Astyanax mexicanus: one gene and its partner. The protein of the gene in region 1 interacts with the protein of each later gene in a pairwise test. Links are inferred from orthologs where the notes say so. Each region holds a gene or a part of one and is shown on either strand. Other genes may lie near its edges. The genes, in order: lmna and vamp4.

What was found.
Region 2: the proteins of lmna (region 1) and vamp4 interact in a two-hybrid assay, tested with the Homo sapiens proteins (2 studies listed by BioGRID and IntAct, with this or other methods). The link is inferred for Astyanax mexicanus from reciprocal best matches to the Homo sapiens genes LMNA and VAMP4.

The regions. Positions count from the first base shown.
Region 1 is NC_064413.1:40,511,341-40,519,025, reverse strand, and holds the start of lmna (lamin), read left to right. Parts: upstream 1-4,404; 5' UTR 4,405-4,513; intron 4,514-7,685.
Region 2 is NC_064408.1:62,581,016-62,589,077, forward strand, and holds the start of vamp4 (vesicle-associated membrane protein 4), read left to right. Parts: upstream 1-4,733; 5' UTR 4,734-4,928; exon of another isoform or gene 4,929-4,954; intron 4,955-7,562; exon of another isoform or gene 7,563-7,633; 5' UTR 7,634-7,707; coding exon 7,708-7,710; intron 7,711-8,062. UniProt on the Homo sapiens protein: Involved in the pathway that functions to remove an inhibitor (probably synaptotagmin-4) of calcium-triggered exocytosis during the maturation of secretory granules.

The DNA of each region.
Region 1 (7,685 bases):
ACACATGAAAGCTGTTGCTAAATTTGTATCTGTAATTTTGTTCCACTAACGTTGAATGGATTATAGTGTGGTGCACAATCTGAAATCTATGGTATATATAATTATTTGTCAAAGGGTTGGTTACATAATTCCAGCGCCTGTCACTGCAAATGAAACATTGTGTGTTTATCAGCCTTTCTCTTGTGTTACCTGTCGTTATTATACACTTCATTTTCTATGGAGCAGGTGGAAGGATGTTTAAACAGAGCTGCTCTGTTGTTCTCAGCTGTTCACGATACAATTCAGCAGGACAGTGTTTGACAAAGTGGCTTTAGATTGTAGGAAAGAGTCTCCACAGGTGCTGGAGAAGCACTTATATTGTTTATCTTATACTGATATAGATTAAATTACACCAACAAAGCTTTAGAGAGGGTTTTTCCACACTACGTCCAGTGATTCTCATATTGTACACTCTGGGCTTGCATGCTACTCCCTGATGTATACCCTTTTTGGACTGCTTGTCCAGTGTTTTCTCTGAAATCAAGGCTATTTATAGGAAGCTGTGCTTCTTTTACTGAAGTAAAAGCCTCTAGTCTTCTGGAAAGACTATACAGTAGATGTAGGAACATTGCTGTGTGGATTTAAGTGCAGCAGCAAGAGCATTAAACAGGTCACACAGTTTGTTTCTAATTTTAGATGATTAGAAACACTACTCCACCTCATCCCAAAGGTATTAGATGAAGTTATTTGTTTCAAAGAATGTAGTTGTACTTTTCCACAGCCCAGTTCCACAGGGTTTTATACTGGTTTGGCTGTCACTTGGCATTAAAGTAGCTGAATTCACTAACTATATGAAATGTCTGAATATAAATGTTATTAATATTTAATATTTAACTTTTCTGTAAACAATCACCTTTTTTTCCAATAATAATAGTCAATAATAGTTCAGTGTACTAAAATGTACTTTAACATGTATTTTGTAATTACATCCTATTATATAATAAAATTAATATAATAATAAATGTCAAATTGCTAGAATAAAAAAAGAGAACCATCAGAAGCAACTGAGGAAGAAGTACAATCAGTCCTCCCAAACCTTAACATCAATGACGGCCCCTTCACACTCGGAGAGCTTGCCAGGGCAAAAACCACCGTAAAAGCAGGAAAGAGTGCTGGTCCGGATGGTATACCCCCAGAGGTGCTGAGGAACTGCGACATGGATGACATCATTTTAGAGTTTTGCAACCTTGCCCTGCTGCACAATCGGCTGCCTGATACGTGGTCTTTATCAAACATCGTGCCAGTGCCTAAGTCTGGAGACCTATCGAAGCCGGACAACTATCGGGGCATCAGCCTGACATGCACTATTGCAAAAGTTTACAACCGTATGATCCTAAACAGGGTCCGGCAGGCAATTGACCCTCTTCTGAGGAAGAACCAGAACGGGTTTCGAGAGAGACGCACCACTACATCCCAGATCCTGGCACTAAGGAGAATGATTGAGGAGGTGAAAAAGAACAACCTGACAGCAGTACTATGCTTTATGGACTTCAAAAAGGCATTTGACTCAATACACCGAGGCATGATGGTGAAGATCCTCAAGGCATACAGTATTCCCCCAAATCTACTCCGAGCAATAGAGTCCATGTATGCAGGAACAAGGGCCAAGGTGGTGACCCCAGACGGCAACAGCGAGGAATTTGACATCCTGGCTGGAGTTATGCAGGGGGACACATTGGCCCCCTTCCTCTTCATCATAGTACTCGATTATGCGCTCAGGAAGGCAATTAATGGGAGGGAACAGGAACTTGGCTTCACACTATCTCCAAGGAAGTCAAGTCGATACCCCGCAGTGGTCCTCACAGACCTTGATTTTGCGGATGACATCAGTTTGCTCTCTGACAACGTGGAGCAAGCACAAATTCTACTGAGCAGAGTAGAACTAGAGTGCGCTAAGGTTGGCCTCAGGTTAAACGCGAAGAAAACTGAGGTCATTACCTACAACATCCCGCCTGAACATCTGCCCCTGATTACAGCAGGAGGCACTGTGCTGAATGAAGTTGATGACTTCAAGTACCTGGGCTCATGGGTCAATTCAACTGAGCAAGACCTAAAATTAAGGAAGGCACTTGCATGGAGGGCTCTGAACGGTATGGCCAGTGTATGGAACTCCAGTCTCCCTCGTCAAATAAAACTGTGCTTCTTCTATGCAACAGTAGAGTCTGTTCTCCTCTATGGCAGCGAATGCTGGACACTTAAGCCAACTCTGGAGAAGTCCCTTGATGGGTGTTACACCAGGATGCTGCGTGCAGTACTTAACATCTGCAATGATGCACATGTAACCAACCAAACCCTGTACGAGGAAATACCAAGAGTGAGCGAGAAAATTGCGGTAAGGCGAATGAGACTTGCAGGACACTGCCATAGGCACCAGGAATTGCCAGCCAGCAAACTGGTGCTATGGGAACCGACACATGGGAGCCGCTCAAGAGGACGTCCCACACTAACCTATGTGGACGTACTCAAGAAGGACGCAGAAGCCCAGAGTACCAGTGAATTGAAAAGATGTATGGGGAATCGGGATGACTGGAAGAAACGATGGAAGGCTCGTCTGAGGACGACCTAGAGAATATACTTTTTTATTGTACTTAAAGCAACATTATGCAATAATTGGTATTTCTTGATCTGGAGCTCTACTCACAGATAGAAATGGTTATTAGCACCTTGAGTCACCCTGTTAAGAATGACATGCTAACATGAAGTTCTTTTAAATGATATAGAGTTGTCACTGATATTAAAATAATAATGTGGTTTATTAAAGTGATAAAGTAAATAATGCGGATTTAACATGAATATGACACAGCATTATGCATAACTCGCCACCTACATCAATGTGTAATTTTTTTTTTTATGAAAACATTTTAATTCTTTACGTTTTAAAAACATAAGTATGTATCAGCTCCACACTTCGGCTGATTAAGATATTGGTACAGAACCCACAATTAGTGCATTCTACTTTTTTATTATAGCAGTTTGACTTATCTATTATTATATTACTTTTATTCCATAATATGACATATTAGTCTTTAAGTTACTTTGAGTTAAGATGTATAATTGTAATAGTTTTGGCAAAATATCCAAAATATGTTTTAAATATATTATGCTTTACTCCTGAGTGTTCATTGGGTAAATGTGGAGGTTAAATTACTGCAGTATTCATTTGATTGTACTGCTGTGGAATAGTGTTTTTTTTTTTTTTACTAATTAGTTTTATTAATAGATAATGAAAGAAACATTCTGGTTGAAGTACTGATGTCAAGAGAAACTTAGCATGTTTCCTTAATAGGTATCTTAACTCCCCGATTTTAGATTTTAGACTCCGCACTCAGCTTAAATGTGAAAAAATTAATTCTTGCAAAACGTGTATTTATTAAACTTGGTTGTATTGAAAATAACACTGCACAATAAGACAAACTGGTGCAAAATAAAAAAAATCTTTAATATTATTACTTTGAAATGATACCTGTGTTTAAAATAATGTATATATTAAAGTAGGAACCATATAAGACTTATTAACTGCAAAATGTGTTCTTTTTTAACTGGTTTCTAAACAGTCACGTGACATAATTTCTTGCCTCTTCCCGTAGCTCTCCTATTGGTTGTTGACATTGTTCACGTCACTATTTGCGCGAGCCGAGTCTCAAGACTTGCGGTAATATTAAACACGGTTAAAAAATAAATATAAAATATAAAATACGGTTGACTTTATCGGAGCGCTGGGACGCGAACTCGACTGACTATAACTTTTAGTTGTAACCACCTTTTACACTGAACGGTCGAGATGACTCGACCACGACTCGACTGCAGCTCGACTCTAGCCAGACTCTCGTGATTTTATTCCGACTCTGGAAATTTGTCTGCGACTGAAAAATCGTTTGAAAATCGTTAGGTGTAAGGCATAATAGGGGTGGGCAATATTATATCGTATACAATATATCGTGACACAGAAATATCATGATATTAAAAATCCATATCGTGATAATAGAGATCTTCTGTCTTAAAAGTAGTCTATTATTTACTGTGAAGCTTTAGGTGTATTTATTGTATAATTGTTTTAGTTTGCAGTTTATATGCATGCACTAAATATTCTGCAATATGATTTGCTGCATTATATTATTTTATGCTATATTATTTATTTTGCCACATTATGATTATACTGTTATACTATTATACTATATTCCTATTATATTATATATTATTATATATTCCTCATATTTTAGTTTTCCTATATCGTTATCGCAAAAATATCATTTTAGAGCCATATCGCCCACCCCTAAGGCATACATATACATATTTGTCATTTAATCTTAATATTAAGCTCAGCTCTGTTCAGCTGCAGTTGTTGTAATGATCCGCTGCGGGGCGCTGCCGGCTCTGTCAGTCAGTCAGACGGAGGGGCTGTGGAGAGAGAGGCATGAGGCAGGCAGCAGATTCCTCGCTGTCAGAGTTTTCAGCGTTTAGAGACACAGAACCCGTGAGTCACTGCTTTCTCTCATTCCTACTCTCTAATGAAGGGTTAACTCCTTTGTGTTTCAGGCTGTGTTCCTCCAGAAACGCTGCAGTTCTTTGGTGTAAATGTTTGTGTAGTCAGTCCGTGACTCAGCCGTTTGCTATTGCAACAAAACTGTGAGCTCGCCCTTCCCGAGAAATAGCATATATACAGCATATATACAGACCACCTTCTTTTCTATTTATAGGTATATGATTGAGCAACATAAACATTGTTGTTTGCTTCTATAAACTACGGACAACATTTCTCCCAAATTCCAAATAAAAATATTGTCATTTAGAGCATTTGCATTGCATTGCAGAACATGAGAAATAGCCGAAATAACAAAAAAGATGCAGAGATTTCAGACCTCAAACAATGCAAAGAAGACATTTCATATTTATAAAGTTTTAAGAGTTCAGAAATCAATATTTGGTGAAAAATATTCTGTTTTTTAATCTCAGATTTCATGCATCTTGGCATGTTCTCCTCCACCAGTCTTACACACTGCTTTTATATATAACTTTATATATAAACCATATAACCAGACTCGCATTGTCCATCCTTCTCTCCTCACTCATTCTCTAATCATTTGTACAAATCTGTGTGTAAATCTGAGTCTCTGTGCTGCTCTGTGTTTACCTGTGTTTACCTGTGTTGTGTAGGTTAGGGCTAATTTATGAAACTGTTAAGAAGTAGGGCTGGGCAATATGATAAAAAAAAATCTCATATCTCGATATGCTTTTAGATAGTAAATGTCAATGGCAATGTACGATATGGTATAATTTATCTGATAAATCTGCTAAAACGTGTAATGTAAAAAAAAAAATCAGCCTTCATTTTTAATAATAAATCTTGCTATATATTCAGTTAGTAAACATCTGTCTGTGTAAGTTAAAAAGTAACATTTTTAAAATAATAAACACAAGACTCAGTACTTACCATAGGACTTATTCTTATTCTTATAACTGCACTGAATTATGTTGTTTTATTGAGATAATGCAAAAAAAAGTTGTAATCCAGCACTAGTGGTGTGCCATATTGTACCATATGCAATAATCTTGCCAAAGTGCATCCAGAAATAGTGTAATCTTATTTTATGGTCGTATAAGTCATCAGGGTACAACTTTTTTTTGCTGTTTGTAGCTAATTTAAAATTCACACTACTCATGTCCCATTATATATCTACTAGAGACAGATTATATCTGTCCAGTATAATTTATTTTACTTTATTTAACTATAATGGATATAAGGAGTGCATTTTTAGAAAATGCTTTAGACAAATAGAGCTTATATGATGCAAAATCATATGATAAAAACCATAATTACAATATTGTTTATAACACCAAAACAATGTGTATATAAAAAAATGTATGTTTTTTTAAATAACAAGAAGACAGATCCAATGTTTGTTGTATTTCTACTGAAATCCAGTGTTTTACTGCACTGAATTATGTTGTTTTAGATGGGGATGATAAAGCCTCCAGGCTGCTCCTGTAATTGCAATGATTCTACATCATAATTTGCAAAAGACTGTACTTACAGAAATGTGATGTACTATAATGCTGCTGGATAACCTGATATTAATGTCGAAACATGACAAATTAAGATCCTAAATTTGTTGAAGCTCCTCAAAGTTTTTTCTGAGGATCACCTGTTTGAATCCTTTATCACGCTGCTTGAAATTAGCAGTCCATGAGACAACAATTTGTCTTGCTCTCTCATGGACGGGTTGAATGACCTTGTGGATGAAGTGATAAAATTACAATTTAAACTTGTACTGCAATAATCATAAAAAATATCATTAATCTTACAGCCCTATACTGTACTATACTGTACTGTATTATTATGATGATGATGCCTGTTAGGTCTTGTAGCATTGGATATTTTTAGTTTTAAATCTGAGCTCTTATGTTAGTTATGTTATAAATGTAAAATCTAGGCAGTTGCATGTGTTATATTTAGGAAAGTTTTGCTGCTTACTAGCTCACATCCAGAATACACTATGCAGGCAGTGGTTTGGGAAGGATTTCCTCAGGGGAATCGTCCTCATTGTAGAGAGGAATGTAGTGGGTGCTGGGAGGCTGGAGGAAAAGCCGTCCTGTGACTGCTGGAGAACAGAGACGTTTGTGTGTGTGTTTGTGCTGCTGGTAGGCATGGTTCTCAGAGGGCTTGTGTTCTGATGATACTTTTCCAATGAGTCAGCCCTGCCGGGAAGACACTCCCTAACATTAGAGGGCCGACTGTAGCCCACTGCCAGACTAGGACTGCCCACTGCCGGCCTAGGCCTGTCATCATCATTATCATCATCTTCATCATCATCATCATCATCATCATTATTATTTTTATCTTTTTCTTTTTTTTTTTTGCCTGCAGATTTTTTTGATTATTCATGAAGATATCAGATTGAATTGACCTAAAATAGCATGTAAAAGCATGTATGGCCTTTTAAAGCTTTCATTATACATTTTTGGGAAAGGATGTACAAGTAAGCTCAGTAAAAACTCGGGCATGGAGGCATACACTTTCCATATGTCATACTGTGGCATATTTGTCAGCATATGTTGCAGCTGGGCCTGTAGATCCTGCACATTTTTATTGAAGCAAACATCACAGCTGGTCTTATGAATTCCAAAATCTGATGGCCAGGCAGGCAAAGGAAGTGTTACAATCTTTTAAAGGTATTCCTGGGAAACGCTGGTTGTATGTGGTCAAACATTATCTTCTTGAAAATCCCAATTGAAGGCCCTGCCATCAGTAGCATAAGTGGCTGCAAGAAGTCCATTATCTAGCAGCCAATTATCTCTCGCCAAGAGGTACACTGCCCAAAAATACCCTCTTGGAACCTTTTTATAGGGCAGTTGAGGGGGCATTTTCACATACTCTTTTAACAAAACTCATTGTTGTTGGGTAATTTACCACAGCATGACTTGGATAAAACTTGGATGTAAGAAATCTCAGAGCATTATAAGATGACCATTGAGTCACATCTTTAGTGTCTAATAATTTAAATAGCTGCCTGCACTTCAGCACTGTCAGCATGTAGCTACATAAAAAAAATCTATAAAAGAGACCAACAGGACAGTTGGATATATCATTGTTGGCATGCAAAATGCTTTAATCTTTTTTCCTACATGTTTTTTTTGTTGTTGTTGTT
Region 2 (8,062 bases), on another chromosome or scaffold:
GTGATTAATTAGTGAGTAATTAGACCATTAACAGGTGAACAGGAGACTATGATTTCTGAATGTATAGAGAGGCAGTGGAATCTTTAAGACCAAATAGAAAAATATAAACTGTACCAGTCAAAAGTTTCAACACCCCTTCTCATTCAATGTTTTATTATTTCCCTGCATTGTAAACAAATACTGAAGTCATCCAAAGTATGAAGGAACACATAAGGAATCATCCAGTAAACGTAAACGAGTTCAAATAGTAAATGAATAATGACCCAAAACATATTGCAAAAGCAGCTGCAACAGATCTAAAGCAAAGAAACACAATGGCTGATCCAGTCACTTGACTGAGCATGCTGGTCAAGACACACAAACAAGCAAATGCTAAAAGAGACTGTAGTGAACGCTGAACAAAACATCTCAAGAAAAGATTCTCAGCATTTGCTGATATCATGGGATCCTGACTTTGTGTAGGATTACTGCACATTTTCTGCATCCATGTATAAAAAATCCTGCATATAACATTATTTTAAGCAATAAATAGTTAAGCATAAATATTTAATTCTAACATTGTAAAGTATGTTCGAGTTTGAGTATGTTTAATTCATTTTTGAATCTTAATTAATGCTAAAATTCTAACTTTCAATCACACCATGACAGCTTAACAGTTAAATTTGTAAACCCATAAAGGTGGTTTTCAGAGTCAACAGTGCAAAAGAAACATGTAGCTGTCCAACTATTATTGGATCAGAGTGTGTATCTGTTCGTCCAATGCACCAATGCTTTGAAGAGGCTTTATTATATATGTTGTAAATGACTGGGTTCTAAATGAATTACTGTTCTCTCAAAACGTATTACAAATACACCTGAAATCTGTGAGAAATTAAGGTCTTGTACAATTATTAAGTAAGCAATAGAGTAATAGATTAAGAAGGAGTAACCTGAGGAAATATTCAAGACTCTACACGTTCTACACGTGTTATTTTTACTCATACCTAAAAACTCATTGTCATGACATGATTTGCCAAATACTTCTCTGAAGGGGTTCAGAATCTTCAGAATACCTCATCAGTCAATACGAGGCACAACATAGCTGTGCAATTCATTCTAATGCATAGTTAGAGTCAATGTAGAGAATTTTAGAGGAAGACAGAAAGGTCTTTCCATTATTTGCATCTCTCTCAGTGTAGTCTCCCAGGATTGAGCAGGTGACACAACTGACAAGACTGGAACTCACTTCATCCTGTATACGCTGAAGGTCACCGTAATTTATACTCTTCTAGCTTTGTCCATCCATCTTCCCTTCTCAACAAGACTTTGAAGTTAACAACCAAAATGGACCAAGGCAGCTATGCAAAGAACATATTTTTGACAGCTTTAGCACTGCTGTACACATGCATATGGGAACATCTACACACCTGTATATGTGTGTATATGCAGTATCCTTACATACAGCATAAACATTTACTACAAACCACAACAGAGGATAAAAACTATTAAAAAATGATTACTAATCTTCATGTGATAAAACTGAACTTTTCCAGAGCTTCGTCAAGTGCTTTCTCGAGGACACACAATCTCATCTTTTCACTCAGCCAAGCACTTCCCACTCCCAGGAGGAGCTTTCTGCTTTAGCAATCATCCTCATCAGTGTGTGGAAAATATTCCAGACTCGCTCGCTAAACTATTTCTCCGAAGAGCCGCTGCATTATGTTTCTCTTGTTTATTTGTTTCTGATTTCACGTGGTTTCATGTGTGTAAATCTTTTTAAAGGCTTTTTTTCTGTTTGCTTTGAGAATTTTTATCTCTGCGATGCTCTTCTATGGTCCCAGCCAAGTTCTGCTCGTATATCACAAATATGTAGTTCAAGGTAACAAGGTGAAGAACTTTTGCCCCCGTGACATCCACTGAGAAAATGAAGCAATTGATTTACCAGATTTAATTTTACAAAATGTTGCAACTTATTAATTGGAATCTTAACAGTGGTATTTGTTACTATTCAACATAGATAATAGATAATAAAAATGTTTGTGGAAATAAATTTATTTATTTATTTTTTGTTTCTAAATGTTCCAATTTTTCTATCAAATTTGGAATGCCAATTACCTTATCCCTGGTAATATGAACTCTACCTATCACCAGTAATGCCCTCAACACTAAGAGAGGCACATGCCTCCTCTGATTCATGAAGTTACTCACCGCCTCGTTTCAAAATGGTGCTGATACAGCATCACTAGATAGCCAGATAAGACCAGCGTTCTTATCTGTTCCCGAGTTCTGATACATCAGCTAACACACACCTGTGCTGACCAACATTACACTATGAGATCTGAGGAGGAAACACCATAAACCCTGGAAGAGTAAGACACTTTGTGTCCTAATGTCATAAGATATGATCTGAGATTTGAACAGACAATCCTCTAATCATAGTGACAGCGCCCTAGTCCAGCACCTCGGAATTGCTTTTTAATAGTATTCATGAAATGATTTAATAAGATTTTTTTTTTCACTAAGAACAGATATGATACACATATAATGGTACAAACAACAATTTGTCTTTTTTTTCTTTGTATTTAAAGTATTTCATCCTTATGAGCTTGTTTGACATCCATTTCAATAATTATGGGCGATCGATATGAAGGTAGAAAATTGGAAACAAACAAAAACAAATGTGTGAAACATTACCTTTCACTGCAATTAAGAGGGAAAACAGCAGCCCCAAGACCATTAATAGTATCCCTGGTACACTAAACTCTGGTTGGCTCTAGGCAGTCTGGTAAGTATTGTTCTCCTGGCATCTGCCAAACTCCTAAGTTCTCCTGGCATCCCAGAATCCCTGATACTGACTCCTGATTCATTTGTGAAATTGTGAAAGTGAGTGCAGGGTTCAGTGAGCGAGAGACATTCTTTTCACACATGGATCGGGCTGCTTGAACTCCATTGAAATAACTTTTGTAACGATTCAGAAGCTTTTGGAAACGATGCCACAGTGAATGCATGCCATAGTCAAAGCTAAAAGTGGTATTTATAGTGTGTGACCTTTATTTGACCAGGTAGTGTATAAAGCAACTGTCAAATATACTGCCCATATACAGTTTTTTAATTGTGATTTTTATAACAGTGTCTGGAACCCATGAAAACATTAAGGTGTCCGTACAAAAATATGAAGGAATTGCATCATGTAACCATAAGCTGTTTCTAAATTGTATTTGTTATATAGTACACTAATTTGGGATTCTGCCATTTTGTACTGGTGTTTGAAAACAAAGTTTTTAACTGTACCAATCTTACAATGCACTGTGATATATAGTGTACAGAACCAGACATGGAATACCCGTAATTATGAATTAATAATAAATAATCAAATCTTGGGTTAAAGAGTGCATTGCAGACTTTCCAAGAAACACTAGATTGTTCAGATTGTTGCATAACACTGCCCTTATCACACACATAATAACAATATTTTATACACCACTACAAAATAGTGTAACCCAAAAGTAGTGCCCTACAAATATGTAGGCCGCACATTGGGACGATTGAAAATTGGAAATTGACATGTTTAGCCCTTTAAAGCAGCTGATTATACAGTACTAATTAGTAGAATGCTAACCTGTAATGGTTAAATACAGTTATGTAAACTGTCTATTTTACAAACAATTAAGTCTGTGTGTTCTAGTTAGAGCACAAGTACCAAACCATCCCTTGTAATTAACGGTGTCACCGGTATTCACATGCATTACTCTGGTAGAAGTATAGATACTAGGGTTTAAAAATAATTCTGTAGAAGTTAAAGTATCAACTCAAGCTTTTTACTCTTGTAAAAGTTTAAAAGTACTGGTTTCAAAACTATTTAAAAATAATTTACGGGGGAAAATGCCATTAAGGACAAAAGCTGAGGATGTGCCACAGGAGCCTATAGTATAGTACCCCCAAATTTTTTAAAGCCATAATGGCTGTAATGTTACATTAAAATGTTAACGTTGAAACTTTGGGGATGCACTAGGCTGCCTGTTTCAGCCACATAAAGGCCCATTTCAATGAATGAATTTGGTACAATATAAATATATTAAAGAATCATACTAGGCTACACAAGTCTGCTAGATTCTTGCTGGAGTCTGGGCGTGATGTGTGCAGGTGAGGTGGATTGTGAATAGACCAATAGGATGTCGAAATGGTATGTGTTTATACTTCTTAACCAACCACAATCATAATCACTCATAATCACATTTATCTGGAGATTTATCTGGTTCGTTTTTTACAGAATGAAAACAAACTAAAACAAGGTTTTTTTAAAAATGTAAAAAAGTAGAAATTACAGATAATTGTTAAAAAAGTAAGGATTAGAAGTGAAAAGTTGTACTTCATTACTTGACACCTCTGCTTGTAATTTGAGTATACATATTTATGTGTGCTAATATCTAACCCTTATTTCCAGTATGAAAGAGGAAATTGTTTTTTTTTTCAATCAATGAAAACAAAACATAATACACATCAAATAAAATTTCATATAAAAATGATAAACATATTCTCTTGAGTGTACACAATGCATACATATTGTTGGGGGGTATACATAAATATAATGATTTAACAGTTGTAATAGTTGTACTGTTTTACAGAGGGCTGTTACAGAGGGGAGTTTAATATAATATTTTAACTCTTTTTAAAAGACCACAAAAATCCTGATGTATAACTACAGCATTGTGAACCAAATCACAGCCCAGCTGTTTGACTTCCTGGTCATCAGAGGTGGAGCGGAAGAGAAGAGAACATCACTGCAATATACACATACACATCCTCACAGCCCTGCTGCCGAGAGGCTCTTCTCTTCTCTTCCACTGACACACACACAGACCACTTCCAGGATCCTTAGATCCTCAGTGGTGTGAGTCGTGGCTGCAGTACAGAAGAGCACTGCACCCCACAGGACCAGCACAGCCCAGGTAGAAGAGGATCTGTGTCTGTTGAGGTGTGTGGAGGCCTGTGTGTCTCTGTGTAGAAGACAGCAGTGCCTGTGTCACTGTCTCATCACTGCATGATGTTCTCCTGATATTTTAGTGTAGCTAAGCTAGCTAGCTACTTGTCTCGGTTACGCTATTAACTAACAACCCGCTAGCTAAATAACTGTCTATCTAACGTAACTTATCCAGTTTAGCTAACTGGTTTAGCTAGTCTAAACCAGACAGTCTGACCGGCTCAGCTAGCCACACAGCTAACCAGCTAGCAGAATCATTTAGCTAGCGTTAGCTAGGCTAAGCTAAACTAAGCTAGTTAGCTAGGAGGCTTCGGAAGCTAATATTAACAACAGTAGCAGCTTCGTGCTGCTAGATAATATTTATTTCTGATAATTTAGATGGAAATGTCCTGTGTAAATATGACGTGGTGCTGTCATGTCTTAGTTTTTTTTTTTTACATTTGTCTTGTAAAAGTCGGCGTTTCTGCTTAGGTTTAGCTCATTAGCTAGATTAGCTAACGTTAGTTAACTGGCACCTAACAGTTACATTGTGTGATAATAGCTTAGCTATCGTAGCTCAGTGTTTCTCAACCCTGGTTCATAAGGCCTAGTCTAGTAAGTTCCTTTCTTTAATCCACATTCTTTAACTCAATAATGAAATGTTAAGAAGCTAATGATCTGTATCAGGTGTTTTGGTAGCAGGGAAAACAGTAACTGTTAGCTAAACAGTGCAGGACAGTGAACCTCCAGGACCAGGCTCGAGAAGAAATACTGAGAGAGCTTAACTACCTAACCCTAGCTAACCTAATGTTAATGTAACGTTAACTGAAATCTCTGTGTTTTATTCTCTGACAGATGTATTTATGCAGAAAGCTGCGTTTAAAACAGGTTATTTAGCTGACCGGTTGAATCATCATCATCATCTTAGTTGTCGTTTCCCTATTCAGTCATATGACTCAGTGGCTGATTAGATTAGCAGTTCTAGAAATGTAAAGGGGGTCATGGCACACATTCTCAGCTCTCAGCTCCATTCTCTCTTGTGGGGATGCTTCTGGTTCTGACTAGTTCATGCAGATGTGTTTATCAGGCAGATATTTACTTGCTTCACTTGCTTGATGCTATCCCCTGTCTGATAAAAACAGACAAACAAAAATAAACCCTCTTTGGAGTTTAGTACTGATTTGGTTTTGTGATTGATGAGATGACTGTGGCCCAAAAAGGGGTGGGCAATAAGGCCCTAAAATAATATCACAATATTTCATGGTATTTTTGCGATAATACTTTTGTTGATATGACAAGATTGACAAAAAATATTTCAAGGATTAAAGTAAAATAAATGATACTGGACAGATATAATCTGTCGGGAGATATAATAGTAAATGAGAAGAGTGTGAATTTTTCTTTTGCTAAAAACAGCAAAGAAAGTAGTCCCCTGATGTGATAAATAGGGGTGGGTGATGGCTCGATATTTCAGGGTATAGTATCGTTCACAATATTTAAAAATGTTGGCGATATTATTGCATACGATATGATGTGGCACACAACTACTGCCCAAGCCAAGTCTTTGTGTTACTGGTTATGTGGATATGTCTAAAGGAGTAACAATTTATAGGCATATAGAATTCACTGCTATTCTATATTATGTATCATAAAAATATTCACCTTACATTGTACCTAAGCAGTCTAGTACTGTATTGTGTGCCATTTTCGTAAAGAAAAGAGACAAAAAAGAATGTTATGATTTATATTACAAGTTAAATGTTATAATTGATGTTTCATGTCATTTATAATTGCACATTTACAGCCTAAACCGTTTACAGATGATGCAACTATGGCCTGGATATATGTACACTATATGTCCAAATGTTTGTGGACACACACACACACACACACACACACACACACACACACACACACACACACACACACACACACACACACACACACACAAGTTGTCTCTGTCATGCAAAATGTATTGCCAATAAAATAAAAATCTCTACAGCAGACAAACATGAATGGCATAATGGCACCATATCTAATACCATGAGTGGGCTAGAAGGAAACATAGCCTCCAGAATAAAGCAGTGGTTCTTTTTTTTGTTTTTTGAAAAACCCTGAGGGAGGCACAAAATTAATGAACAGGTGTCCCATTACTTTTGTCCATATAGTGTCAATTGATGAACCCCTACTGGTGTCACCATTTCAGTGTTATTTGCAAATGCAGTGCTTTCAGTGTTGGGTGAACTGATTACTGTGTGCAGTGCGGGGGTCAGCAGAGTTTATCTGATTGCCCTTTAGAAGGTTCTGCATCGTCTGTTTGTCTGTCCCACTTACATTTTATGTCCAATCCACATGACCAATTCATGTTTTGTACATCAGTTTACTATTTTATGCCAATAATGTTTTTTTCTCCGTTCATTCTATTGGAAAATTATAATGGCACCCTTGTTTGACAGATCTGGCAACTGAAATGAATTTTACATACGTTTATGGTCATTGTGGATTCTTGCCTGCTGCTTTCTTTTTATCTGTCTCTCTCATATTTCCCGTTATCTTTATCCCAACCGTCTTTCCCCCTTTTTCTGTTTCCTTTTTCCTCTCTCTCTTTTTTTTTTTTTGCTAGAGCTGCTTATCCCTAACCCCTCTTCTCCTCCTCTGCTGATTTGTGGATCGTTCCGCCGTGCTTGTGGCCAGGAGAAAACCTGTTTTCCGACTACTTTTCCAGCACATCAAGCAGAAAGCAGTCTCAGAGAGAGGACAGTGACTCAATGGTATCAGACCCCTATCCTAAATTTGGATTGTGTCTGTGGTTGTGTGGGAAAGAGAGAGAGAGAGTGAGAAAAGTGAAAGAACTTCTCTATGGCTTAAACTGCATAAAAAATGTGAAGAATTAAAAATTAACTAAATAAATATACCTCCCAACCAGTAAATATGTCCATCATTGTTTCAAGTATTTTTTTCAGAAATAATTATGATTAAGCTGTTTCATAGAGCCAGGCTAAATATGAGAAATTATATTTAAAAAAACATTGCATCAATGAGTAGGTCATGAATTTGAACTAACTTTAAAATCTTGGTATTGTTTCACAAACTTGTAATAGGTAAGAAATTATGTCTCTGCCA